Linked DNA regions of Xenopus tropicalis. The protein of the gene in region 1 interacts with the protein of each later gene in a pairwise test. Links are inferred from orthologs where the notes say so. Each region holds a gene or a part of one and is shown in the gene's direction. Other genes may lie near its edges. The genes, in order: dtx2, sec22a, arnt2, stx12, abhd16a, eif4enif1 and alkbh4.

Evidence for each region.
Region 2: the proteins of dtx2 (region 1) and sec22a interact in binary tests that used the Homo sapiens proteins (3 or more experiments, as listed by UniProt). The two-hybrid records come from large-scale screens. The link is inferred for Xenopus tropicalis from reciprocal best matches to the Homo sapiens genes DTX2 and SEC22A.
Region 3: the proteins of dtx2 (region 1) and arnt2 interact in binary tests that used the Homo sapiens proteins (3 or more experiments, as listed by UniProt). The link is inferred for Xenopus tropicalis from reciprocal best matches to the Homo sapiens genes DTX2 and ARNT2.
Region 4: the proteins of dtx2 (region 1) and stx12 interact in binary tests that used the Homo sapiens proteins (3 or more experiments, as listed by UniProt). The two-hybrid records come from large-scale screens. The link is inferred for Xenopus tropicalis from reciprocal best matches to the Homo sapiens genes DTX2 and STX12.
Region 5: the proteins of dtx2 (region 1) and abhd16a interact in binary tests that used the Homo sapiens proteins (3 or more experiments, as listed by UniProt). The two-hybrid records come from large-scale screens. The link is inferred for Xenopus tropicalis from reciprocal best matches to the Homo sapiens genes DTX2 and ABHD16A.
Region 6: the proteins of dtx2 (region 1) and eif4enif1 interact in binary tests that used the Homo sapiens proteins (3 or more experiments, as listed by UniProt). The two-hybrid records come from large-scale screens. The link is inferred for Xenopus tropicalis from reciprocal best matches to the Homo sapiens genes DTX2 and EIF4ENIF1.
Region 7: the proteins of dtx2 (region 1) and alkbh4 interact in binary tests that used the Homo sapiens proteins (3 or more experiments, as listed by UniProt). The two-hybrid records come from large-scale screens. The link is inferred for Xenopus tropicalis from reciprocal best matches to the Homo sapiens genes DTX2 and ALKBH4.

Annotation. Positions count from the first base shown.
Region 1 is NC_030678.2:94,403,247-94,406,746, forward strand, and holds part of dtx2 (probable E3 ubiquitin-protein ligase DTX2), read left to right. Parts: intron 1-2,122; 5' UTR 2,123-2,229; coding exon 2,230-2,527; intron 2,528-3,500. UniProt on the Homo sapiens protein: Regulator of Notch signaling, a signaling pathway involved in cell-cell communications that regulates a broad spectrum of cell-fate determinations.
Region 2 is NC_030685.2:88,971,108-88,975,308, forward strand, and holds the start of sec22a (vesicle-trafficking protein SEC22a), read left to right. Parts: upstream 1-1,401; 5' UTR 1,402-1,487; exon of another isoform or gene 1,488-1,499; intron 1,500-4,201. UniProt on the Homo sapiens protein: May be involved in vesicle transport between the ER and the Golgi complex.
Region 3 is NC_030679.2:108,902,130-108,905,629, reverse strand, and holds part of arnt2 (aryl hydrocarbon receptor nuclear translocator 2), read left to right. Parts: intron 1-225; coding exon 226-300; intron 301-1,599; coding exon 1,600-1,751; intron 1,752-2,477; coding exon 2,478-2,550; intron 2,551-2,644; coding exon 2,645-2,771; intron 2,772-3,500. UniProt on the Homo sapiens protein: Transcription factor that plays a role in the development of the hypothalamo-pituitary axis, postnatal brain growth, and visual and renal function. Specifically recognizes the xenobiotic response element (XRE).
Region 4 is NC_030678.2:83,639,054-83,643,110, reverse strand, and holds the start of stx12 (syntaxin-12), read left to right. Parts: upstream 1-1,257; 5' UTR 1,258-1,278; coding exon 1,279-1,372; intron 1,373-4,057. UniProt on the Homo sapiens protein: SNARE promoting fusion of transport vesicles with target membranes. Together with SNARE STX6, promotes movement of vesicles from endosomes to the cell membrane, and may therefore function in the endocytic recycling pathway.
Region 5 is NC_030684.2:74,883,371-74,886,870, forward strand, and holds part of abhd16a (protein ABHD16A), read left to right. Parts: intron 1-67; coding exon 68-190; intron 191-1,068; coding exon 1,069-1,183; intron 1,184-1,338; coding exon 1,339-1,440; intron 1,441-1,665; coding exon 1,666-1,729; intron 1,730-2,775; coding exon 2,776-2,825; intron 2,826-3,500. UniProt on the Homo sapiens protein: Phosphatidylserine (PS) lipase that mediates the hydrolysis of phosphatidylserine to generate lysophosphatidylserine (LPS). LPS constitutes a class of signaling lipids that regulates immunological and neurological processes.
Region 6 is NC_030677.2:152,099,751-152,103,250, reverse strand, and holds part of eif4enif1 (eukaryotic translation initiation factor 4E transporter), read left to right. Parts: coding exon 1-65; intron 66-2,204; coding exon 2,205-2,400; intron 2,401-3,500. UniProt on the Homo sapiens protein: EIF4E-binding protein that regulates translation and stability of mRNAs in processing bodies (P-bodies). Plays a key role in P-bodies to coordinate the storage of translationally inactive mRNAs in the cytoplasm and prevent their degradation.
Region 7 is NC_030678.2:46,224,180-46,228,378, forward strand, and holds the start of alkbh4 (alpha-ketoglutarate-dependent dioxygenase alkB homolog 4), read left to right. Parts: upstream 1-1,399; 5' UTR 1,400-1,418; coding exon 1,419-1,526; intron 1,527-2,508; exon of another isoform or gene 2,509-3,658; coding exon of another isoform or gene 3,659-3,673; intron 3,674-3,991; coding exon 3,992-4,171; intron 4,172-4,199. Other genes in the region: lrwd1 (leucine-rich repeat and WD repeat-containing protein 1), read right to left, coding at 1-59. UniProt on the Homo sapiens protein: Dioxygenase that mediates demethylation of actin monomethylated at 'Lys-84' (K84me1), thereby acting as a regulator of actomyosin-processes.

The DNA of each region.
Region 1 (3,500 bases):
TACAAGCAGTGTTTTTCACAGTAATTGCCTGCACTCACAGATGTGCTTGTGGGTCAGGCGTTTAACACTTGAAAACACCAACTAGTGCATTTGTGAGTGATAATCACATGACTCGTGAATGCACTCGTGAATAGGGGCAGATTATTACCTTAGAAGTTAATGGGAGAGTTGTGATTCAAAGTATTTTGTCATCCACTCGTTCAGTCGGAATATGCTTGCATGCTCTGTGTGCCATTACCCATAAAAATGTAATGTCGCAGTTACCATTTTGAACACAAACAAATGCATATGGGCTTATTAATACAGTGTGGTTGAGTGATGTATTTTTATACATTTCACCACTTCAGATATTTTTCTCATTGTTTTGTGCATTTGAGGTGTGGGTTTGAGCACCTAGTAATGTAATCATATGCTGGGAGTTAGTTTATTGGCCAGCCTTTTGTGAAATAGCTAAAGGTGTTTTTTTTGTTATCGAAATATAAAGTGTTTGAGGAATGTGCCTACATCATTTTGAATGATGCAACATGTACATTAGTGTTTATTACTGAACTGAGGGGATTTTTACCTTTATTGAGTTTCTGTTTTCATTCTGATTCTATTGAAGAGACCTGGCTAGCTTAAAGTGAAAATGAGTTTGCAAATTATTGGGAGGAAAATGGAACACGGTTTGCCTGGGGAGAATTGGCAGGGAGTGTTAGCTTTTGTTGAAGGTTAACACGCTTGGCAAGTAAGAGAGTGATGTATTTTAATTTAAAACCTTTATTTCCTGCAAAGGATAATGTGTCCAGTTTTTCTGTACTATGTCTTTAGTTCAGTTTGTCTGTACTATGTCTTCATTTAAAAAAAATAGTTCCCCATATGTAGCCCACAGCTGTGAAGTGTCTTTTTTTTTTTGTATTTACTTCCGCTGAGTTAGTAAGCTTCAGTTTTTATTAGAATAATATATAGGCCTGTTATTTTCCTCTTGGGGTTAGTGACCTCTTGTGTCTAGAATTTCCTTGGGGGAGGTTTTCATAAAGACAGTATAATTCCTCAGATAGGCTTGATATACTAAGTCAGAAACTAGAGAAAGGAGGTGTCCCTCTCTATCCCATTAGGGCTTTTACAGACAGTTTTTCTTGCGTTTCAATAATGTGGATTTTTCATGCATTCCATGGCAGGGGAATGCAGGAGTTAATGCATTCTGTTATTTTCAGAAAGTTTATACTTACTCTGCTGCAGGGAAGTTGCTGCCCTACGGCATTGAAAAGAACAGGCTGCGTTTCTTCATGCCAATCCTCGTGGTGGAATGCATGAAAGAACCACCACAAACAACCATGTAAAGAAATGCTCATCTGTTAAAGTCTCTCATCCTTCCACCTGAACAGGAGTTTTTAATCTTTTGCCTAACACACTTCATACATCACTACCTAAATCATAAGTAGGGTTAATGGGTGTTTCAAACCTTCACGATTGCATTACATACTTTATTACATGAAAGCTGTTGTTATAGTGGCTCTTACACATGGGTGTTTTCTCCTGAATTTGACTTTGAAACAAAGATTTGACCCATCTAAACACATCAGCTAATTAATTCCATTATAAGAAGACTTAAAACAGAATATCTCTTGTGGGGAGGGGGTGGAGGGGTGGCTAGAAATAGGGTAGGGCTTAGTTCTCCTTTAATAACAGTGGTGGCAAGCAGACTTGTACTGGTCAGCAAAATACCAATCCTTTTGCAAGCCTGCTCATTACCTTGTCTGTTATTAGAGCAAACCAAGTGTTTTGGGTGGATACATTTACAATATACTGCTACAGTGGATAGATTAATAGGATTTGCCTATTAACCTATTAAATATTTAATAAACATCTCTTCCAGCTCACAGATATCTGAGGCATATTATAAAGGAAGACTGTTTTCTGTAATATATAATGCACACATGGTATAGATCACTAACCATTTGTTTCTATAAAAATTGAAAAACTCTCTTCATGTTTTATATTGTTTGTATCTAGAGTTTTATTGGTGAGATGTCGCAGCAACTAATACATTGTTTATTTCCCAGTTAGTTTAAAAATGAATCCTATTTTTGTGCTACTTATCCATAATTATGTTTTTTTTTTTTTTTTTTATCTTTTTTAGGTTTGTACAATGGTGAACGAAAAAGGAGTTGCAACCCAAAGAAATTAGTTCTGAAAACCAAGAACAGTAAAAAAATATTTTTTGGATAATACGCTCATTCCTTTCAGATGGCAGCTGCTCCTCCACCAGGTGGTGGGGTTCCTAGTTTCTCAGGACTTCCTACGGTGTCTAATCAGTGGAATGCCTCTGTTGCTGTTTGGGAATGGCAAGATGAGCATAACAAATGGCGACCATACAGCAGTGCAGTGAGCAACTATATTGAACAATATATGGTGTCATATTCACAGCAGAAAGGTTTCCGAGCCTATGGAAACAGCAACAGCATATCTCTTGGAAAAGCTGATCCTAAACTGGCACCATACATTATTGATATTCCAACCCTTTCACAGTTTAGGCAAGATACAGGTAAGAGGCCAATCTTTTTTTCCAGTAGTAATACCAGGAGAAAAGGATATTTCATGGTGTATTTTATGGTATATTATATAATTGAAAAAGTCTGCCATAGCCCCAAGTATCAGTTTTATTATTTGCCAAACAAATAAGCTTTGTTTTAAAAGAATATTTTAAAAGAATAATTCTGAAGTGCCTATATCAGACATTTCCCTTTAGGGCAATGGCACATTTAGCGCTTTCTCACTTGTGTGAGATCATTTTGGTATGATTGCAAAAATGTTTGGAGATATTCCTAGATGTTGCTCCACTTGTTAAAAACAAATCAAATAAAATGGAAATTTCAGACATTTATATGCCAACTTTATACATATGATGTAATGGTGTAAAGAGGTTATCCCAAAAAGAGTTGTTTAGACTGAAAAGCTTTTTCCCTGCTTTTGCATTGTACATTAGGGGAAAATATGCCCTGTTTGCCATGGGTCTTTAGTGCAGTGCCACAATATGCCGCAATGCCCACCATAAATCTGTTATACAGCAGGCAAAAAAACAACCCTAGTTTCCTTCCTACCTGCTATAATGTAAATTGCATGTGGGGAATCATAAAATCATAAGAGATGCATATGTTTCCCCACCTGGGATTATTAGTGTTGGAAAAGCCTTTTCAGGAGATTAGTTGCCTTCCGTGGCTCCGATTTACCACAGATGACTAATCTAGTGTGCCATCACCCTTTTATAGCTAGTACCTCAAACATAGATAATGACAGGAACACAATTTTCCTCACCAAAGGAACAATATAAACAAATAAAGTATGAAGAAATGCATTCTGTATTATCCAAATCTTGTTGATCTATATTGGTTAACAGGTACCCTTTGATTACAATGCCAAATCAAATAATTTTCTTCTGAACTGGTCTAAGGCAAGTGTAGATTTTTAACCTTTTCAACCATGTTAATTCAACCAGGATTTCATCCTCCACAAAAGAA
Region 2 (4,201 bases), on another chromosome or scaffold:
TGCCAATTCCATGTATAATACCCCAGAACCCACAGCAGGATAAATACAGTGCCAATTCCATGTTATAATACCCCAGAACCCACAGCGGGATAAATACAGTGCCAATTCCGATGTATAATACCCCCAGAACCCACAGCGGGATAAATACAGTGCCAATTCCATGTATAATCCACCCACAGGAATAATACGGCCATCATGTAACCCCGACCACAGCAGATAAATACAGTGCCAATTCCATGTTAATACCCCAGAACCCACAGGCGGGATAAATACAGTGCCAATTCCATGTATAATACCCCAGAACCCACAGCGGAATAATACAGTGCCAATTCCCATGTATAAATACCCCAGAACCACAGCAGATAAATACCAGTGCCAATTCCATGTATAATACCCCAGAACCCACAGCGATAAATACAGTGCCAATTCCATGTATAATACCCCAGAACCCACAGCAGATAAATACAGTGCCAATTCCAATGTATAATACCCCAGAACCCACAGCAGATAAATACAGTGCCAATTCCATGTATAATACCCCAGAAACCCACAGCAGGATAAATACAGTGCCAATTCTCATGTATAATACCCCAGAACCCACAGCAGATAAATACAGTGCCAATTCCATGTATAATACCCCAGAACCCACAGCAGATAAATACAGTGGCAATTTCCATGTATAATACCCCAGAACCCACAGCAGGATAAATACAGTGCCAATTCCATGTATAATACCCCAGAACCCACAGCAGATAAATACAGTGCCAATTCCATGTATAATAGGTGCAGTGGATGAAAAGGATGTAATACACAGAGAAAAATGTTAATGGAAATAAAGTTACAGAAAGTAAGAAACAATTTGGATAAGGGCACAATAAAAACATAAAGGGAGGTGGGTTCTATGAGGAGAGGTAAGTACAATAAATCAGGCAGTTCCACCCTTTACAGGCAGTTGCTATGGCTTATAAAGGTGCGCTCCCTAGTGACAGTATCTGGTACTGCAGCTCCTAAATCCTGTTTCCAGTCAGCAAAACTCACACAATATGGGGCAGAAATGTCAGACAATTATGAGAAACCATTGCAGCTGCCTGTAGGAGACTGTTGGCCCCGGCCTGAGGAGAAAGATACCGCCATGCAGTTGGTCAGGCCAAGCCATAGCCGGAGGCTCAAAGCCCTGTCACAGGGAGAGACAAAGGAAATTAGTAGCGGTCATGTGACGTGTAGGCGGGGCAGCCATTGGGCAGGTACGGGAGGGGCGGGGCTAGCAAGGGTCAGCGTTAGACTGGGCGTTCCCGCTAGCTACCTGCAGACCCCGCCTCCGTTACCATGGCACCCCGAGAAGCATGGCTGCCCGCACTGAGGTTCCAGGATGCAGCGCGAAGGACACGTCACGTAGGCGGAGCCGGGCCTGTGGGACTGAAGCTGCTGTGAGCCCGGGGGTCCGACCTGAGAGGCCGGGGCCTCGGGAAGCGAAGAACGGAGCGGAGGTAGGTAAGTAGATGAGTGTATATAGGGGGGTGTGTATAGGAATGTATTTCTGTGTGCATGTGGGGGTACAGATATCACTATAGGATCTGTATAGACCCCCACAGACATATCCCTCTATCCCCCCCATACGCGCCTATCCCTGGGCCTCTATCCCCCCCATACGCGCCTATCCCTGGGCCTCTATCCCCCCATACGCGCCTATCCTGGGCCTCTATCCCCCCCATAACGCGCCTATCCCTGGGCCTCTATCCCCCCCACTACGCGCCTATCCCTGGGCCTCTATCCCCCCCATACGCGCCTATCCCTGGGCCTCTATCCCCCCCATACGCGCCTATCCCTGGGCCTCTATCCCCCCCATACGCGCCTATCCCTGGGCCTCTATCCCCCCCATACGCGCCTATCCCTGGGCCTCTATCCCCCCATACGCGCCTATCCCTGGGCCTCTATCCCCCCATACGCGCCTATCCCTGGGCCTCTATCCCCCCCATACGCGCCTATCCCTGGGCCTCTATCCCCCCCATACGCGCCTATCCCTGGGCCTCTATCCCCCCGCATACGCGCCTATCCCTGGGCCTCTATCCCCCCTCATACGCGCCTATCCCTGGGCCTCTATCCCCCCATACGCGCCTATCCCTGGGCCTCTATCCCCCCCATACGCGCCTATCCTGGGCCTCTATCCCCCCATACGCGCCTATCCCTGGGCCTCTATCCCCCCGCCCTATCCTGAGGCTCTATCCCCCCCCATACGCGCCTATCCCTGGGCCTCTATCCCCCCATACGCGCCTATCCTGGCCTTATCCCCCCCAACGCGCCTATCCCTGGGCCTCTATCCCCCCCAATACGCGCCTATCCCTGGGCTTATCCCCCCATACGCGCCTATCCCTGGGCCTCTATCCCCCCCATACGCGCCTATCCCTGGGCCTATATCCCCCCATACGCGCCTATCCCTGGGCCTCTATCCCCCCCATACGCGCCTATCCCTGGGCCTCTATCCCCCCATACGCGCCTATCCCTGGGCCTCTATCCCCCCATACGCGCCTATCCCTGGGCCTCTATCCCCCCCATACGCGCCTATCCCTGGGCTCTAATCCCCCCCATACGCGCCTATCCCTGGGGCCTCTATCCCCCCCATACGCGCCTATCCCTGGGCCTCTATCCCCCCCCATACGCGCCTATCCCTGGGCCTCTATCCCCCCATACGCGCCTATCCTGAGGCCTCTATCCCCCCCATACGCGCCTATCCCTGGCTCTATCCCCCCCATACGCGCCTATCCCTGGGCCCTATCCCCCCCATACGCGCCTATCCCTGGGCCTCTATCCCCCCCATACGCGCCTATCCCTGGGCCTCTATCCCCCCATACGCGCCTATCCCTGGGCCTCTATCCCCCCCCATACGCGCCTATCCCTGGGCTATATCCCCCCATACAGCGCCTATCCCTGGGCCTCTATCCCCCCCATACGCGCCTATCCCTGGGCCTCTATCCCCCCATACGCGCCTATCCCTGGGCCTCTATCCCCCACCGCCCCCGGCCATACCGCCCCGCCTATCCCTGGGCCTCTATCCCCCCCACGCGCCTATCCCTGGGCCTCTATCCCCCCCACACGCGCCTATCCCTGGGCCTATATCCCCCCCCCCATACGCGCCTATCCCTGGGCCTCTATCCCCCCCACACGCGCCTATCCCTGGGCCTATATCCCCTCAACAAGTGCCTATTGCTGAGCCTATATCCCCCCCCCATACATACACATAGACGCCCCCACTGAGCTTCACATACTTGCACAGTTGCCATAGATGTAGTATGTTGGTAGGGGTAAGTGTATGTGTAGGGGTATCGGGCTGGGGCTGTTTATGTGCATGAGAGGTATATAGGGTCTGATCCAGAAGTGGGAAGTGAGAGGTTCAGGGAACCCAGAAAGATTTCAGACACAACTGGCAGTGATATTTACTGTGAGGCAAAGAAAGGAAGAGCCACAGGCAACTAAATGCCAGGCTTCCCTGTCCCCTCCTCAGGGTCGGCACTAGGAACGGGCAAAACCTGCCTAGGGTGTAACAGTGGGGGGGCGGTGGGCAGGGCACCTCTTATTTTACCTACCCCTAGTTCCGGGCCCTTTCCTCCAACTGTATCACCCCCCAACAGTTCTGCCCCCCATGTGTGAGCAACAAGCTGGGTTGCCTAGGGTCCCTGCCTGCACCTGGGGGCAGATACACGGGGCAGATTCTTGCCCAATAATGCCTGTTCACTCATTTCGGGCTGGAATCTGCTCTGTGTGTTTGCACCCCAGCCGAGGCAAAGACTCTGGGGCAGACCAAAAAGGAGGTAGGTGCCCGCGTGGGGGGGGGGCTGCCTGGGGTCACTCAGTACAACAGAAACAAACTTGGGCCTCAGGTTTGTAGTGATCTGTACAATTCCTTCATGTGTGGGGGGGGATTGTGTGAGACCCTGCCAGCTGATTGCTAGCCTGAGGATCAAGAGCTCTGCTTATTCATGTTGCCTTTAGTTACCCTTTAATTCATTAGTATGATTAAAGGGTAACTAAAGCTATGATCTGCTGTCTCTGCCCGTGTAATGGCATCTGTGCCAACTGTGCAGGGCTGGAGCTCAGGTGAGTGGGTATTTATAGCAGACCTACTATAGGGTGGGCATGGGTACCCACCGGTTGTACAGCTCCCAGCTCGCCATTGGAAACCCGAGGTTGCAGGGAGTTGCAGCTC
Region 3 (3,500 bases), on another chromosome or scaffold:
TCTGTCCTGAGCATTCCAAAATATTGTATTATTTTAGATATAATGTAGAATGAGTGTAGACTAACCAAAAGATTCTGCTGTTTTTTGGGAGATCCTTAATACAGGCCTAGGTAGGCAGGGTTTGGATGCACGGGTGGTGAATAATTCCCCTGTAATTTCCCTAAGATTAGGAATTAGGACAAAATCATACTACATTACAAAAGGCAACTTTTATGCATCTTCCAGGACCTTCTTGGAAAAGATATCATTGAATTTTGTCATCCAGAAGACCAGAGCCACCTCCGTGAAAGTTTCCAACAGGTACTATTTCTTCTGCCAGAAAAAAATGTGTGACATTAAGGGTTGTACTTGGCCAGGTTACCTCAGTGTTTCCCAATTTAAAATTTCTTGTCAAAAACATATGCTACCACACTTCAAAGATATCTTTAGTTCAATACAATCCCACTGCTCGTGGTGGAGTATACCATATAATGACCACATAAGAAAAAGAACCCTTTTCAATGTGCTTAGATATTTTTTGAACTTTTCTTGGTAGCTGCACCACATTTACCGGTTTGTAGTTGTATTGTGCCCCCTTAAGACTTTGCTTCTAACACAAACAAACTCACCATATCCTATCTCTACATACACTAAACTATATCTCCTTTTTTACATGTTTATGGCCTCATTTTAAGCTTTTTATAAACTGGTAACCCATTTGCATTCTAATTTGATTTGAAAGGGCATATTCCTATAATTTCCCTTTTAAAGGGTGTGCGTAACCAAGGGCAGTTAATTAGCCAGTTCTAAGCAATATGTTTAGGGTTCTGCAAATGCAAGTGAACTGTTGCAGTTGCAAGGTGGCATTGTACTGTCAAAATGAATGCAATTGTTATTGCAATTCATTGCGAATCATACAGAATTGTGCCAGGGTCCGGTTGGTACCATTTTGGGGGTTCGCTGTGTGACTGACTTGTGTGCCATATTCTTTAGCCACACGTTTGCTGTGCCCTTCAATGCAGGGTGTTCAGGGAGCCCTGGAGCTACCACTTAGTCTGGAGGTGGCAGTAACCCCACAGTTCCTCTGCGTCGATAAGTGCAACTGTGCTTGTTCGGAATGGAAGGCAGAAAGGACTGAGCATTTTGGTGCAAGTGCCTTTAATAAATGGGGTTTTACGTGCAGGACTGCAACTGTGACTGCACTTGCAGTCATAAATGACTCTCTTTTTCCATTTATGAGCTTACATAATGGTAAGTTGTTAACTTTGGGAAAAAAAATTCTGTTTATAACATTTGGCCATTAATATCCTTTTTCCTTGACTCCTTCACATTACACTTTTTACTGTCCTGTTACAGAGGCTTTGCTATAGGCCATACATATATATTATTAGAAAAAGCACTTTGTTCCATACTGGCTCTTGCTTTTGATGGTATAGTCAGCAAAAGTTTCTCTCTGTAATCTCTTTTTTCATTTCTTGTTAATGCATTGTGATTTATTATATTTGATATAATTGTACAGTGCTGCATAACTTGCAGGTACTATATACATACACTATAATGATACTGTATGTATTTCTAAACACTTCTCTTACTAATACTTCTGTGTTTTCTGGTTATCAGGTGGTTAAATTAAAAGGCCAGGTATTATCAGTGATGTACCGATTCCACACTAAGACTCGGGACTGGATGCTCCTTCGTACCAGCAGTTTCACTTTCCAGAACCCATATTCGGATGAGATTGAGTATATTATTTGTACCAACACTAATGTCAAGTAAGCAAGCAAAAAGTATCACCTAGGCAGTTTTATGCATATTCACCTAAGAATCTTTCACATGGTCTTTACTGGGTTTTTGAATTATTGGGGCTCCTTTTCTGCCTATTTTCAGCCTGCAAATGAGAATGCTATTGTTTCAGTCACTGACCCCAGCAACCAGAATAATGTTATTCCTATTTATATTTTTAATTTCTTGCCCTTTTTTCTGGTCCTCTCCTATTGATCTTCCATTCTGACTTCTAAACTACTACTTGATTACCAAGGTAACTGAGCCCTAGCAACCATACAGCAGCTGAATTTCAAGGCCTAGTAGTTGCAGAACCATACATCTTTCAAAACCATAAAAAATGACTAATTCCAAATTGTTTTAGAATACTGCTGTTTACATCATATTAAAAATCAGTTTAAGTTGAACTGCTTTTTTTTTTAATATTGGTCCAAAGCTTGAGATTCACTTCCAAAACAAATAGCAGTTGATCCTTTTTCAGGTCATCACTGATAGGAAAGCATGATTTGTAAATACAAGTATTCCTACCTGAACGAATCATTACAGGGCTTTCTGGGTGCAGATACTTTTATTTCAGTCTTTATTCATATAGTATATGATTATTTGGTTATATAAGAGCACAGATGCTACACTCAGGGAGGGCTTGCTCTTTATGCCTTCAGTGACACATGATCCTATGCCCTACAGTATTTCTGCAGCTGTTTCTGTGTTCCTAGGCAGGTTCAACAGCAGCAGGCTGAACTCGAAGTTCATCCAAGGGATAGTTTATCCTCCTATGACTTGTCGCAGGTGGGTATTGCAGGAGTATTCTACCCAACGTGGCATCTTGCTGTGTGTTGTTGCAGCTTATGTTCTTGTGTCTAACATCTGACTTTCTTGACAGGTGCCTGTTCCTAACCTTGCAGCAAATGTGCACGAAGGTGGAAAATCTGTTGTTGATAAGCCAGATCCAATCTTCTCCCAGGATCGTGATCCTCGTTTTGCTGAGATGTTTGCTGGAATAACTGCCTGTAATTTTAATGTTATTATGTTCCATCACATTAACATCTCAGGCTCTTTATAGGCAAAGCACCTTTATTCATATCCCAGTCCCCCTTGTTGCCTTGGTGTATTTCATGGGGTATCTGGGTTCACCATTACCAAGCCCTTAATTAGCTTGGTTCTACTTCCAACTAATGCATTAAAATTCCAAAATGGAATTACGTGTTCTCTGATATCTACAGAGTTCAGATCAGGACAGGTCAGAGCAGTGAGCTGAGTTAATGAACCCCAGGGAGCCTCGGTATGTGTTTTCAATAACGCTTTAGGTATGTTTGTAAATGGAGCAAACGGTGGGGTCAAATGCAGATTCTTCCACTAAAAGGAATTTTATTCTAACAAATGAAAAGTATTTTCTAGTCTGCCTGTCGCCACAAGGGTATAGTTATTGGGGGTAAAAAGTGCCTGCATGTCATATATTAGACAGGACGTCTTCTGCGGCTCCAGTGTTGTAATCTAAGCAGAGAATTTTTTTTTCTGTACCTTTTGAACTTAGAGAATGTGGATTATTGTCCTAGGCTATAGCAAACTGAAATGTAAAGCATCATTAGGGGGGGCAGGGGAATTCTTCTCTACACACTAGTCAGACATGTAACTGCAATAGTGGCTTATTGTTTACTGTGGTATAGCCTGATGGCACTTCCAGTTCCCTTACCACAGCAAATTCTGGCCACTTTACTAGATACCCTCTCTGTTTCTAA
Region 4 (4,057 bases), about 11 Mb from region 1:
AGAAGATTATTTCACCGAGCACTGCACAACAGTACCCCTCTCCCCCTGACGGTGGCTCTGAAAGAGAGGATGATAATGGGATGGGAAAGAGGAGAGCAGTTAAGGGGTCTTTTTTTAAAAATTCCTGGCGCACCTCTGCTAATTCAAACTACCGTATTTCTACCTCCCACACACACAATACTTTCTTAAAGATGATTCAAAATGCAGTGACGCAAAGATTTTTGCGTGGCACAATACTCATCACTTGCCTCTGTAAGAACAGTAATCCCTAACCAGTGGCTTGTGAGCAACATAGTGCTCGCTAACCCTAGATGTCTCTCCAGGGGGTCTTAAAGCAGGTGCTTGTTTTTTAATTTTTGGCTTGAAGGCAATTTTTAGTTGCATAAAAACCAGGTGTACTGCCAAACAGAGCCTCCTGTATGCTGCCAGTCCTCATAGGGGCTACCAAATAACCAATCACAGTTCTTATCTAGCAACCCCCAGAAACATCCATACATAAAACGCTGCTATCCACTGGCACTGATGGACTTACCAAACTGCCCTCCCTCAGCATTCAGAGTTCCCAAGAAGTCCAACAGATATTACACATCGCCATGTCCAGACTGGGAGTCAAAATAGGCCCTGGCATTTCAAGTACACAAGAGGTCCAAACAGCCCTCTACCAGCCCAATAAATATTAACTGTCTATAACATCTTACAGCAGCTCCTCTGGCATTTGCCAGAACCCATAGATTGCCAGTCCCAGCCTACACATCACTCATATATAATTCCTGTATATATCACCTTGCCCTTTAACAGCAGCCTTGAACATACATATCACACACTATGCTTCAACTGCTTACCTGTTGTACAGGTAAACAACATTTTACTAAAGATCACAATACTTGTCCCCCATGTGCACCCAGCATATTTCTCATCTCCCTCCATTAAATCCAAGTACTAGGGGTGTAGGGAAAAAAAAATAATTAGACCCAGCAATTGCTCCAGGACCTGGGATATTAAGTACCCCATCCTCCAAAGGCGCACTTGCTGATTTTTATAAACCAGCAGAATTCTACATTTGCATTCCTTGTTCTCTTTAAAGGAGTGGCAACAACAGCATCTTTTCCAAGCTGTCACGTGGTATCATGACTGGGAGGCGCTTATCGCTGATAGGAGCCTGACAATTCCTACGTGACATCACGGTCACATGGCTATGACATCACGACTTCCTTAGAGTCGCTTCATCCCACCATCTCTTATACTCAGAAAGGAGGACGGGGCCCTAAGAGGAGCAACATGTCTGGGTACATGAAGCAGCAGAGCCGTGCCCGGGACTTCAACAGCATTATTCAGACCTGCAGCGGCAATGTGCAGAGGATCACAAATAACAGTCAGTATCCCCAGTTTTTCTACAGAGCACCGGTCCTATTCCTGTATATATATCCGTGATCGCAGCGAGCTGCACACACCCGCAGTATATAGATGGGGGTACTGGTGGAGATTTGAAGGACGAATTGTTAGCCATTGGCAATGGGAACTTTTGGACAACAGAGATTAACATGTTATATGGGCCCCTTGTATTATGTGTAATTCCCAGGTGCTACACACCCACTGATGTACAGGAAGGGCGGCTATACTGACACAGCTGGAAATAGAGAAAATTATTTATATAGCATTGCATATATGGAGACTGGACAGTTGGCAAATGACAAAAATCAACTAATGTTTCCTTGTGTTGGTTGGTGGGTGGGTGTACAGTACAGCAGCTATCAGCTGGCATGTTCATTGGCAGAGGGGCACAGAGAAGCAGGGGTGACAGGCAGGAAGGGAGCTAAGTGCAGTGGGAAGTCATTTCCTACTGGAGATTCCTGATTGGGTTACTGTTACCAAGAAGTTACTACTGTTAGGCTTGTCACCTGGTTGGGCTCTTGCTGTGGTTAAACTACACATTACAATATTATCCTAAAGGCAGCATTTGTAGAAATGTAGTTCAGCAACCAGTGAAATCAGGCTGAGCAGTTTTACCCTCGCTTACTGAATTTGTGTTGAGTGGGTTACATTCCTGCCTTACTCCATGGGGGTTTTTTGTTCCCCCCTAACTGCCTGATCACTGCTTTGCAAGCTCAGAGAAAATTTTGGGCGTGGGCACAAGCAGGATTCACCAGGTCAGGCAGGGGCCATGAAATTGTAATATTTCCTTCCTCCCAGCATGACAGCAGGATAGGAGTTCATAATGTGTGATTTATCATGTTGAATGAATGAGACTTGGCAGGAAATATGTATTTTCTTGTATATCATTATGTATTAGATTCACAGTATTGACTTCTGCCAATCATTACATACCCCCAGAAGTAAGTAAATAAATAAATATGGAGTCTTGGTACTACTGGCCTCTGTTCTTCAAGTCTATGTGTAGTTTCATTCTTAAACAAGTGTTCAGCTCTTAATTAAAGGATGCCATGGAATAGTAGTAAATACGTCATAAGAGCAATTTGTCACTCCCTCTATTTGGACTAGACATAAGACATTTACTATCCAAACATACCCATTCCTTAACCATCTTAAAGGGGCATCTTTAACAAAATTACACTTTGCCTGTTGGTCATGTTAGGTTTAGTAAAGTAAAGGAATTTGGGGGGAAAATACCTTACATTTTTACTTGTTAAAAATCCTATGTTTCCGCTTCCATTTGAAAGTGAAATCACATGATTAATGTCCTTAGTCTAAGAAGGCAGCAGTCAGTCCTGTCTTGCTTTATAGCTGAGAATCTAGTTATCTTTATAACAGAACATTCATTGTACTGTGATTCAAGCAGGCTTGGACTGACATGGTATTTTTTTTTAAAAAGGTTTTTTTGAGATGATAGTATCTTAATTATATTCAGTATTTTTAATGAGAAGTGGTAAATGTGCACTCCATGTGAGAGCCTCTAATTAAAAGTGGATATAGCAAGGACGTAATTCATGTAATGAGATTTTTTGTTCATTGTTCACTATGCTGCTGTTTTTCTTTTTGTAATTATAGACTAGCACAGTGCAGTGTTTACAGGAAAATTGCTGCTGTCCTACAAATGACTGTTATTGTATGTTTTGGAATGGCCCAGTTATTCTGCACTGATAACAGCACACTGCTGAGATCTGATAACTGTGTTTTCAGCTTCTCGGTATGCTGTCAAGGTGTGTTGTTGTGTCATACTGATATAAGGTGCACTGTTGTCATGAAGTGCGGTACAGGTTGAAGTTACATAGTCTTTTTCAGATAGGTAATGTTTTATTGGGCATGTTCAGCAAATATAATTTATACAGAGACTTTACAGGTTTTCACAGGAATTTGTTGGTGAAAAAGGTTCCTTCCATAACCTAAAGCTTTAACACTGAAGCCTGGCATCCCCCTACCCCCTTTACTTACCTGTGGCACTTGTCTAGTCAAGGTTGATTTAAACAGTACTTCCAGCCTTGTCGGGTCAGTACCACACCCAAAGCCCAACATCTTCAAAACAGCAGCCATTTCTAAAAAAGAAGTTGAAGTCTGGTACAGGTAAATAAAGAAGGTGCAATATTTTAGTTGTAACTCATTAGAGATGGCCTAGAAAAGGAATATCAATAATAAATATAAATTTCTATTAAAAAAAAAAAAAAACACAGGTACAGGTATGCGACCTATTATCCAGAATGCTAGGGACCTGAGATTTTATGGATAAGGGATCTTTCTGTAATTTGGATCTCCATAGCTTAAGTCTACTAAAAGATTATTTAAAAATTAACCTCAATAAGCTTGTTTTGCTACCAATAAGGATTAATTTTATCTTAGTTGGAATCAAGTTCAAGTAACTGTTCTGTTATTACAGAGAAAAAGGACATTTAAAAAAAATATTAGAATTATAGGCTTATAATGGAGTCAGTGGGAGTCGGAACTTCCTGGATAAGGGGTTTCCTGATAACAGATCCCATACCTGTACAGGTTTGGGATCAGTTATCTGGAAGACTTCAGACCTGGGGTTTTCCGGATAAGAAGTCTTCCCATGATACTGATCTCAGTACCTTTTTTAAATTTGTTAAAAGGAAAAAAATAATCT
Region 5 (3,500 bases), on another chromosome or scaffold:
AGCACAGTAACAGAATTTATCCAAAGCGCATATTAAGGGCCCCCTAATATGATTTTTATGTCTACAGCAAAGATCTTAAAAGCACAGGCCCACTTGGGGGAGTTCCTTTACTCAAGCCAGATCCTCGTCCACGTGGGACTACAGACAATGTGTTACAGAGGATTCAAAAATTACCATGTCAGATTACCAGGTAACAGCTTTGCCATTCTTCTAATTAATATGGCACAAAGGAAATCAAATTCTACTATAAAAAGTGTGTGTATGTATATATTTATATAATATATAGTACACAGGGAGGAGCACACCCTATACAAGTCCAAATGCCCTTGGTGCAGGTCAAAAACAAATATATAATAGAAACCAGAGTGGTTTGTCCCTGAGGAAGAGCACTGGTTGTGCTTGAAACGTTGGAATTTTTTCAATAAAAACACTTTTTTCTTTTGTATCAAGTCCCTGTGTGTGAGCGATTTCTTTCTATTTAGATATACATACATATATCTATACATAAGTATTCAGCCAAACACGGAGTGATTTATTAGTTAAGTATATAACAGCTGACAGGGTTCATGTGCCTCCATCCTTTTATATTTTGGTTCTGTACAAATGGAATTACCAAGGAGGGTTTGTAAATAGTTTTTTATATTGGTATAATTCAGGACTGAGATAATAGAGGCCACTCTTTTTTTATTCTGGATTGACCCTTGATACATGCATGTGCACATACAAAGCCAGGCCAACTTATGACCTGTTTAGGTAGTTTAGACACTTGTTTGATGTAACCAGTATTAATCAGCTAAAAACCAGAATGATGTCATAGGGAGACAAAACATTGTCTTATAATGAATTGTTAAGCTATATGTTGGATATAATAACAGTTCTTGGAAACATTAGAAATATTTAGTGACCATATGCAATTTACATCCTTTGAGGAATGCACAGTATAGTATGGAATTCTATGTGCAAATGCTTCTTCTTGTAGTTTTGGTTTCTGCATATGTTTCTTGCTTGATTCAGAGTAGGTAAGTAATCTAATAAATGCAATATTTTAATTATCCCCTTTCCTCTCAGTTATGCAGTAGCTCACTCATTTGGCAGGCGTATGTTGTACCCTGGCTCAGTATACCTATTACAGAAGGCTCTCATGCCCATGTTGTTGCAAGGGCAGGCCCGTCTAGTGGAGGAGGTGAGAGACTACTTTGTATAGCCACTTTCTTTCCATTCCAAATTCTATTTGTGTCATTTTGCCTTTTTACATATGTGCTCCACACAGGTGTGTCTCACATTATCCATGTAACAACCACTACATGGTCATATTTACTCCTTTATCCCTCTTTTTAGTATAATGGAAGGCGAGCCAAGCTGCTGGCATGTGATGGGAATGAGATAGATACAATATTTGTAGACCGCAGGCACTTAGGAGACAACAAAGGAGCTAAGCTGGTAAGAGTTGTTTGTGCTTGCCCAATACCAATGTATATTTCACTTTCTGTTTTAACAATCTCCTACCCAAAAGACTAAGGAGCCCTGGGCATTTTGATAACCAGTTTATATTGATTCCCAGCATTTTTCCCATACTTTTCCTGGGACAAGTAGCCAAAATCAAAACTCCCTTAGTCACACAGTCCTTCTTATGTTTCCAATTTAATATTTGGTTTTTTTATTAAGGTTATATGCTGCGAGGGGAATGCTGGATTCTATGAAATCGGCTGTGTCTCCACACCACTGGAAGGTCAGATTTAAGTTTCTAGTCAAGTATAACATTTACGTTTATTGAATTAGTATGATTTAGATTAAATGCAACTGTTGTTCGTATAATAGGGGAGAGTGTTAGTTCAGAAGATGTTGGCAGAATCATAAACTAATTATTATTGTGCTTGCAAGTACTGGATAGTTCAAATCAGCTCCATCTGACAGAGCAGTCCCTAATACTGCACAAGATTTCTTAAATGTATGCCAGCCTCTCTCCTCCTTATAGCAGGTACTTTTTGCTTACTGATAAGTCTCTTTCTTGTAGGCCTGTAATATTTTCTCCATGTTCAGACATGGTGAGAGGGGTGCAGTGAGCATGGAGGGAGGAGTAAAGATTTTGATTGCTTTGTCCTGACTAAACACACAAGGACTGCTCCTATCTATCTGCACTGTCATCACAGCCTTACAAGAAAAGGATTTGTCTGTAAGTTTACAATCTTACCTTTATTTTGCTATAGCACACATTTAACTGCGTTTGCAGCAATAGTGACTTTCACCGTTGACATTCTTTTCTTTAGTATGTTTGCAAACCTAGCAATCTATGCATTCTCTTCGCAAGCTAATTTTCTTATGTATTTTATTTCTTATGATGAAAGCCATAGCAGAGTACTTACAAATGCTTAAAATAATGAAATATAATTTGTCAGAACTGTATTATATATGCAATTTTCTATATAAATGCTTATATAATGCTTATATATGCTTAACTTGTAATGGCATACTAGCACCAAGATAAAAAAATACTTATTCTAGAGATGCTTGCTCTCTTAAAAGCCGACAGAGAACAATGAAGGGCTGCACTGTTTAACCTAGATAACCACAGCCAACTGCTCAGCACTGGCAAATGCTATCCTACTGTCTGACCTTTTGTTAGTATATTTTAGGAATTTAAAGCTAAATAACCTATAGTATGTTTGTTTGCTTTTTGTATAGTTGATTGGCACAATTTTTAACAGAGAAATTGTTGCTGCAGCATATGAATATGGGCCTGCCTTTTTTGTAATGCTTGGTTTCACTGTTTTGCAGCTGGCTATTCAGTCCTTGGCTGGAATCATCCTGGATTTGCTGGTAGTACAGTAAGTTATGTAATTACTTTGAATCCATACATTTTAAATTGTGAAAAGTAAACAATAACAGGTTGCTAAGTCAGGTTACTTCACTCAAAGGCTCAGCAAGCTAATTCTGGTTATTAGCAAACCAGTTCAGATTATATTAGTTGAATGTTGTGGTGCCCTAGGCATGCCACACTCTTCTACCAAATTGGTGCATGCCTAACACAGTCTATACACAAGTAATTATTGGTTAGGAGTGGGGTTCCCCCACTATCCCTGAGCTCCACTGCCAGCACTGAGCTAAAAAGAATGCTGTTGACCTGGGCCTTCAGGTGCCTGTACAGAACATTCACCCTGATGGTGGATACAGTTTACTGGAATTGTAGCATAGACTGAAAACATGCTTTTGATGAAAAATATGCCTAATGTAGAAGCCTAAAAATATAATGTGAACATTTGGTTATACAGATCATTATACAGATGGGGTTTCATGTGTTCTGCACAAATACATATAGTTCTCAAGGGATTAAAAAAATCATTGTTTTTATAATTATGTTTTATTGGGCGAAAACATTGTTTTTTTGGAGAGTCTGTATTACAGTATTTGGGTGTATAGCATAAAGAGTGGAGGTAATGGAGGTGGTTTGCACCAGTAGATTAGTTGATAGCATAGATGTATGTGTAATCTAGTGATTTATG
Region 6 (3,500 bases), on another chromosome or scaffold:
GAGGCGATAGAGAACCCAGAGAGGGGCGAGACAGAGAAAAAGAATACAAAGACAAACGCTTCAGGGTAAGTTTTCTGTCTTAAGATTTGTGTGTAAACCTTGCATCACGGAATGCTGATGTTACATCCTGATCTAAAGTAACTTTAACATGAGGTGTATTAAACTGATTTGTTAATAAAGATAGCTAAAATTCCTCCAAATAGCAGTCAATCATTTTTAGTTGTATGCTGAAAAGTGCTGGAGGGCAGCTAGATTTAATACTGGATGTTTGCGAGGACTATAAATGTTTCTTACAAAATCATTGTCCAGTTAGTGCTCTGTTCTGTTGACTTTATCAAGAAATTAAGAGAAGGAAACTTCCTTTATTTTATATATCCTTACCTTGAGTCCTGTTCTAAAACAAATGATACTATGTGACATGCTGACTGCCTGTACACATAATTTTTGGGGAATTAGCAATGGTAGGCAGGCATGCAGAGGATTTGGAGCATAAGGGGTGCAACTTCAGGCAAAACACATGTTGATGTTGGGAAGAATTGGCCCTAAATAAACAGACAGAACTAACTAAAACAGTTCAGGGTTATGATTTGTCCCTTCTTCAGGGCTCTCACCTTCCAAGGTTACTTCCACACTTTGGAACCTTTACGGGGTTTCTCACTGTCCCCAGTGACTTTCACACATCCACAGCAACTCTCGCTCATGAACGCTCAGGCTTCACCTTAAGCCTTGCTGACTCCTCCCAGCTCTCATCCATCTGGTCACGACTTCCTCTGCTCCTCGCAGTGGCAGGAGGCATCCCCAGCTCCTCTGGGAGTTCCTTACGCAGGCAGGCAGCCTTCCTGCCCTGTGCCCCACTCCTGCTCAACCCCCCTGTGTAATCACACAGCCATTTTATTTGCTGCTCACCTGCAGCCTAATCGGGCAGCTACACTACAGCTGGCCAAATGAAAACGTTAACTGGAGTTTGGAATGGAAGGTCTTTCCTGCTCTCCCTCCATTCACTCCAGGGACCTATTAATTTTGCTTTTTCTAAGCTAGTAACTTAAACACAGTATTACCTGTTGCAAAACCAGGCCTTTTACCTGGTGCTACTTGTACCCCGCCTTTAACACTGGTGGAAATACAAATAATCGTTGTCCATTGCATCTCTCACAACATAGATTAACAACCCATAAGAGGTCTGGAAGAGTGATGTCACATTAAAGAGTGGTGGTGTACCTTAAAATTACCCTTTTGGTTTGATGACAGTGTTATTCTAATACAGTTACCTGGGATTTGCAAAGCTCCAACTTCAGACTCTGACATGGCCTTTATGTGCCTTGTAACATATTTCAGATTTAAGTGAGGACTTTGGTATATTAGGTCTTCCCCCAAATATATATCTATATCGAGCACCTGTACTAAATGTCCTGTAAACCGTGTATTAAAACTTGTGCCTATGGTTTTCCCACAAGCCTTTTTGTTAAAACCACCCTCAAAAAGCATATTGTCGGAAATGTTAGAAAAGCATTTATAAAATATTTTGTAGTTGTCATTCTGTGGATCAGTGTTTGTGCAAAATGCTTTAAAGGACATGTCAACCAAGAATATAATTTTTTGCCTAATAAAAGAATATAATTCTAAGCAACTTTACAATGATTTTATTAAAAATTTTCTGTGCTTTTAAAAGTTATTTGTAAATGTAATTGCTATTGAAAGCAGCATTTGCTGAACTCCTGGTTACTTTTTACACAATGTTGCATAGGTCAGGCTCCTCCTAGTCAGTTCTGTCAATCTGCTGCCTTGTGTGTGTGTGTGACATTGTTTCAAATGCCAGATATATATATATATATATATATAAGTACAAAGTTTCTTGGAATGTTTTTTCTTTTATTAGGCAAATTATATTCTTGGTTGACTTGTCCTTTTAATCTGTAACCATTATGCCATCCAACTATACATTTTTGAAGTCTAAAACTAAAGGTGCAACTTCATTTTACTAACCAATGTTGACAAGGTTGGCAGACCTGAAGGTTTGGTCATATCCTTAATGACCTTTAGGAGGAGGGCAAATGCAGTGATTCATATTTTAAATCCATTTAGTTTATTAAACTGAAATTAAGGCTTGATATGTGCCAGACTTGTTAACTTGTTGTTTTTAGCTTCTCTAAATGTTTTTATTTTTTTTCCTCCCCCCCCCCCCCCCTCTGTCTTCTCTGCCATAGCGAGAGCATGGAGACAGTAAACGTGTATTTGGTGAGAGACGTAGAAATGACTCTTGTACAGAGGAGGAACCAGAGTGGTTCTCTGGGGGTCCCACTAGCCAGTCGGAGACAATTGAGCTTACTGGCTTTGATGATAAAATCCTGGAAGAGGATCACAAGGGCCGCAAGAGGACAAGAAAGCGGACAGGAAAGGAAGGCAAGTGGAATCTGACTTAAATTGCAGTGGGTTGGTGTTTTTACCGCATATCTTGTTTGGCCATTACACATGAGAAGGTGAGAGTTCATGCAATAAAGTATATTGAGCCTTTTTTCTTTTCCCCTTTACCCCTACTGTGTTGTCATGCCTTCACCATTGAGTTTTTGGAATCTGACAACAGTGGTTACAGGAGTTAGTTTAGGTTCAATCTGGAATTTTCAATTGAATCTTAAGATCAAGTACAAGGTACTGTTTTATTATTACAGAGAAAAAGGAAATCCTTTTTTAAAATTTAGAATTATTTGCTTATAATGAAGTATATGGGAGATGGCCTTTCCATAAGTTGCATAACTTTTCCATATTCCAAATTTCCATAACTTTTTGGATTACAGGTTTTCGGATAAGGGATCCCATACCTGTAATTTATGTGCTATTGCCCTGCACTAGTAAAAGTTGTGTGAAACTCTGCTGTAGTTTATATAAACAAAGTGGCTGTGTAGTCATGGAGGTAGCACTTAAAATGAAAAAAGGAGAAAAGTCACAGGTTACATAGCAAATAACATATTGGATGAGCAGATTCCCATTTGTGCATTTGCCCCCATAGCTAAACAGCAGCTTATTTATATAAACTATAGTAGTGTTTCTGAAGCAAACATACAACTTTTACCAGTGAAGGGCAGCAGTACATTATATTATAATTCAAATGTTTTCATTTTCTGGTAGTACTGTTCCTTTAAAGCATTAAGTGCACTTATAGATACAAATAACTTTTTGAACATAAGAAAAGTAATTCAGGTGTTTTATTGTGACAGGAACAACAGGTAGACTAATGGCAATCTGTTCTGTGTTACAACAATGTCAACAATCTCCAGATTGCACAGACATTGGTATTGGGAGTTAAACTATTACAAATTAGTGTCTTTAAGACTTCATGTTATTGTATGAGGCAAGTGCACAACTCAGAACAGGCCATGCCCAGGTAGGATAAAGGAACATGGGTCTTAATGAAAACATGCAAACTTAAACGAGAATTAAAGCTTAACTAAAGAAGTAGGGCAGAAATGTTGCACATTGTTTTGGGCTTCTGTACCAGCCCAAGG
Region 7 (4,199 bases), about 48 Mb from region 1:
AGATGAATGGATTTAGGAAGCCCTTCCTTCAGCAGGACGTCAGCAGTAATTTTGCTCATTTTGAATTACTGTTGCTTCTTCATACACCTATGTACTTGTCTTCTCTTCTCAGGTGTTAATATCTTTGTAAAGATTAAAAAGAATATGATGGGTAAGTGCATGTGTATTAGAGTAAAAAGGCCAGCTTTTTGTGTCAATCTTTGATTTTTTACTCTACTGCGCATGCACCTGCCTAGACTAAAATGGAAAAAAAGAAGGAAGAAGCCAAACAAGATGGTAACCATAAACTTCTACAAAAATACCCTGGACCAATGCTGCTTTTACCCAACATGAGCACTGGTCCCAGGTATCAGGTGATTATTATCAACGGGGATGGGGGGGGGGCAAACATTTTAGCACCTAGCCCAGTGTTTATACCTTTTGGTCTCCTTTAATTAAGGAATATCTATGATTTTTATTTCTTGCACAGAACAAAAAATAAAACAACTAGTAAAACAGATTACCAGTCAGCAGATAAGTCCTCTGCATAATGACCTGCCCTAATATCAAAGCCACAGTTGCAAGGATGTATCCTTCCCCACCAAAGCAAAACATCAAAAATAACACTTTTCCTAGAAGTGAGAGACACTTCTGTGCCTGTGATGCCTATGACTGTTTATGCCCATACAGTATTGATATGATAGTCACTTCTAGACACGGAGGAAAAAATCAATGGCTGTAAATGCCAGATAAATATATATTTTTAAAACTAAACTTAAAGACTACCTTTTGGAGCACTCACCCAGCACCTGATCTGGGAACTAGCACCTATATTGTAGTGTCACCCATTGTGACCTACAGCACTTATATTTGCCTATTTGTGTCTGTTAGTTACCCTCCCATATAGATTGTAAGCTCTACGGGGCAGGGACCTCCATCCTCTTGTGTCTTTGACTCTTAACTTATTGCAACTGTATTTATCTTGTATCTATCTGTATTTATTGTTGTACTTTGTATTTATCTATTATTATCTTAATAATCCCGTTTATATTAATGTATTCTACTGTACAGCGCTGCGTACATAAGTAGCGCTTTATAAATAAAGATATACAAGATATACATACAATTAGCTTTTATGTGTTTAAGCGACCAATCCTTTTGCTACTAGAATGTACCCAGAAAAGAGCATTGCCCTTTAAATAGCCCCACCACATATTGCAAAGTGAAGCCTATAATGCCGAATAGGCAAGTAATACAGCGCTAAATAGCGGGACACTTACTTCCTGCTGGCTTCCACTCCCGGGGAACTCTCATGCAGCGGCTACTTTTTCCTTCGAACTTCTATCTCCCGCTAGCATGACATCACTTCCGGGGTTGGTACTATTACCCGGAAGTTGCTAATAGATGCAATTGCTGTGTTTTAGTGTGTTTAGTCGCCTATGGCCGAGGTTGTTTGCGATGCCTGGAAGGGCTGTGGGTGTAAAGGGATCCGGTCCTGTTTATTGTGTGAGCGTGGGGCAACGGGGGCACCTAAGGGGCTTCATAAGGTACTTAGCAACTGGGGATGTGACCACGTTGTCCGACCTGCTTGCTTTGCGATGAGACGCCTCTGGCTATTGGTTGGTGGGAATAGTAACAAGGCAGCAGCAAGTTCGCCGTCAGTTGTCTTAATTAGATATTGGCTTATATAGGACAGTGAATTGCATCTTAGCAATATGTATGCTTTAAAAATGGTGGAGTTAATTTGTGATACAAATGCAATGTGTTTATCCCTTTCTGTACTCTGGCTGTGACTCTTGAAACATTGTAGCAGAAGTCAGGTTTGTTAATCAGCTGCCATGGCTACATTGTTTCAGAAGTGAGAACCAGCAGGTCAGCTCCACTGGGCCAGCTTTGGGTTAATCCTGCAAAGTTTAAACAATTCAGTTGTGGTAATTTGTTATAAAGGTAGTGCAACACAAGAAATAGCCACACTGCATTTATCAAAACACAATTGCATCCCCTTGGGCAGGTGAGGGCAAACAATTCAAGTGCTGAGAGTATATCAGTGTGGCACTTGTGTAGATAGTCATGTGGTACAGTTCATGGATGAAAATAATGTTAAACTGAAATTTAGTTTTACTTTTTCATTAAACCAGTTTAATTAAACCAATCACTCCAGTTAGTATACAATATGTACTTTGCAAATGTGCTTTAATTAAAATGTAGATTCTGTATGCACATCTATTCAAAAACATGGTGTTACTGAAACAACAATGCAGAGTAAATGCAGAGCTAGTCATGGATTCCCACCCCCTCCTATACAATAGAACTTTAAATGATCTCATTATAATAAAGCACAGAGAAAAAGCATCTGGAGATGTCTTCCTAGTGCAATATACATGTTTGGTTTCTTGATTCTCTGTGGTAGGTGGTATCAGGGTTGCCTTTGTTATCACTATGATCAGGGCAAAATAAAGCTTACTGCCCCTGAAATACATACCGACGACAAAGCAGGAGCAAAGCACCATGTTTTCTGCATCTTACCCACCTAGAATTCACATCCGGCCCCTGCAGGGGAAATTATTGAAATTAATTGCTTCTTGTCCAGAATGCACTGCTGCCTGGGCCCTGATGCACAATATACTGGAGGATAATTATTTGAACCTAGGAGTCCCTTAAACACCTTTACCTTGCACATAAAATAGATCTCATGGCCCCAGTGCTGCAAGGATGCATAAGGGAAGAGCACCAAGGGAGGAGTAGTTTAAGTACATTGGTCCCTTGTGCCCTGTAATTTGCACGTTGGGTTACATTTTCTATCCAGTGCAAAGTCACAAGTGCCTTAAAGTGCTTTGTCATCATGTTGCAGTAGCACATCGGCTATCCCAGACCCACTGTCTCCCCCAAAGAATATTAGGCTTATGTCAGGCTTTAGTACTACTGCCATGAGAGAGAAAATGCCCACTTCATTGGTCACTGCTTCCCATAGTAATGTATCAGAAATTGTTTGTTAGAATAGCACCAAATCCACAGTACAGCAAATGGTACTGGAGGGTCATTTTGTTACGGGTGCAATCAGCCATCATACTATGGAGAAATTTAATTTTTCTTGCCCTTCCTGTTGCACATTTATGGGTAGCTTAGGAAACTATGCACCTGGGTACTTCCTGGGTGTGGTTGAATATGCATAGAAAGCTTTGTACTGTGGTTTACAAATGAATGATTTGGGTAACAAATATATTCATGTGTAGTCTCTGACCAGTTTGGCTCCATGAAGTCTGGCTCATTGGTTCTTTTGAATAGAATATATCATTTTTCACCCCCTGTTGTGATTTTCACACTATTTTGGGACTAGCATTTTACTTCTTTGTTCTTTGTTGATAACTGCATTTACTGTCTATTGTTTGTATACCCTACACATAGGCAAACATACACTGGAAATGTGTGCAGTCTACAACCAGTCTTCATTATTATTCCAAATAATTCAATTATATTGCAGATCTTAACAGTCAAGGCACTTATTGTTACTGCTACTTTTGTCACCTGAGATTTTTCTGATATACGTCACTTTTCCAAGCAAATGTTATGGGAGACCTTGCATTCATAAAAAAAAACATATTCCATTGGTCTCCAAATCAGCCATGGATAGCACTTCTATAGATTCTGGCAGATACTGTTCTTATTGATTACTGGGGAAATGCTGAGCTCCTTGGTAAATATAGCAGGTCATACAGACACAGGCAAATGATCACTGGCATCACTGCCATATGCTTTAGAGTTTATATTTAATGTACTTTATGCTATTTAAGCAGCATACAAGGCTTGCTGTGGGCATATAACTTTCTGATAGTTTGTTTCTGTTTGGTCTTCTGTTGATATGTATGAGTAGATATTGCCATATTTGCTGCATCAGCTGTATGACCATGTAATATACACCTTCATATTTTATTCATGGGAAACAAATGGATATTAAGGCAAAATTAACCACTGAGTTATTGTTACCTCTTAACATATTTTGTTTATTCTGCAGAAATTACCTTTCATATACAGTCCATTAGAAGGCATAGCAAAGGGACTTGATGGCTGCTGGTTTCATTTCCCAGGTGTGTATCTGATACAAGACTTTGTGACGGAGGATGAGGAACAACACTTGGTAAATTTTATGGATCAAGAAGAGTGGCGGCTTTCGCAGTCTGGACGAAGGAAGCAGGTAAAATATTTTGCACATACTGGACGTT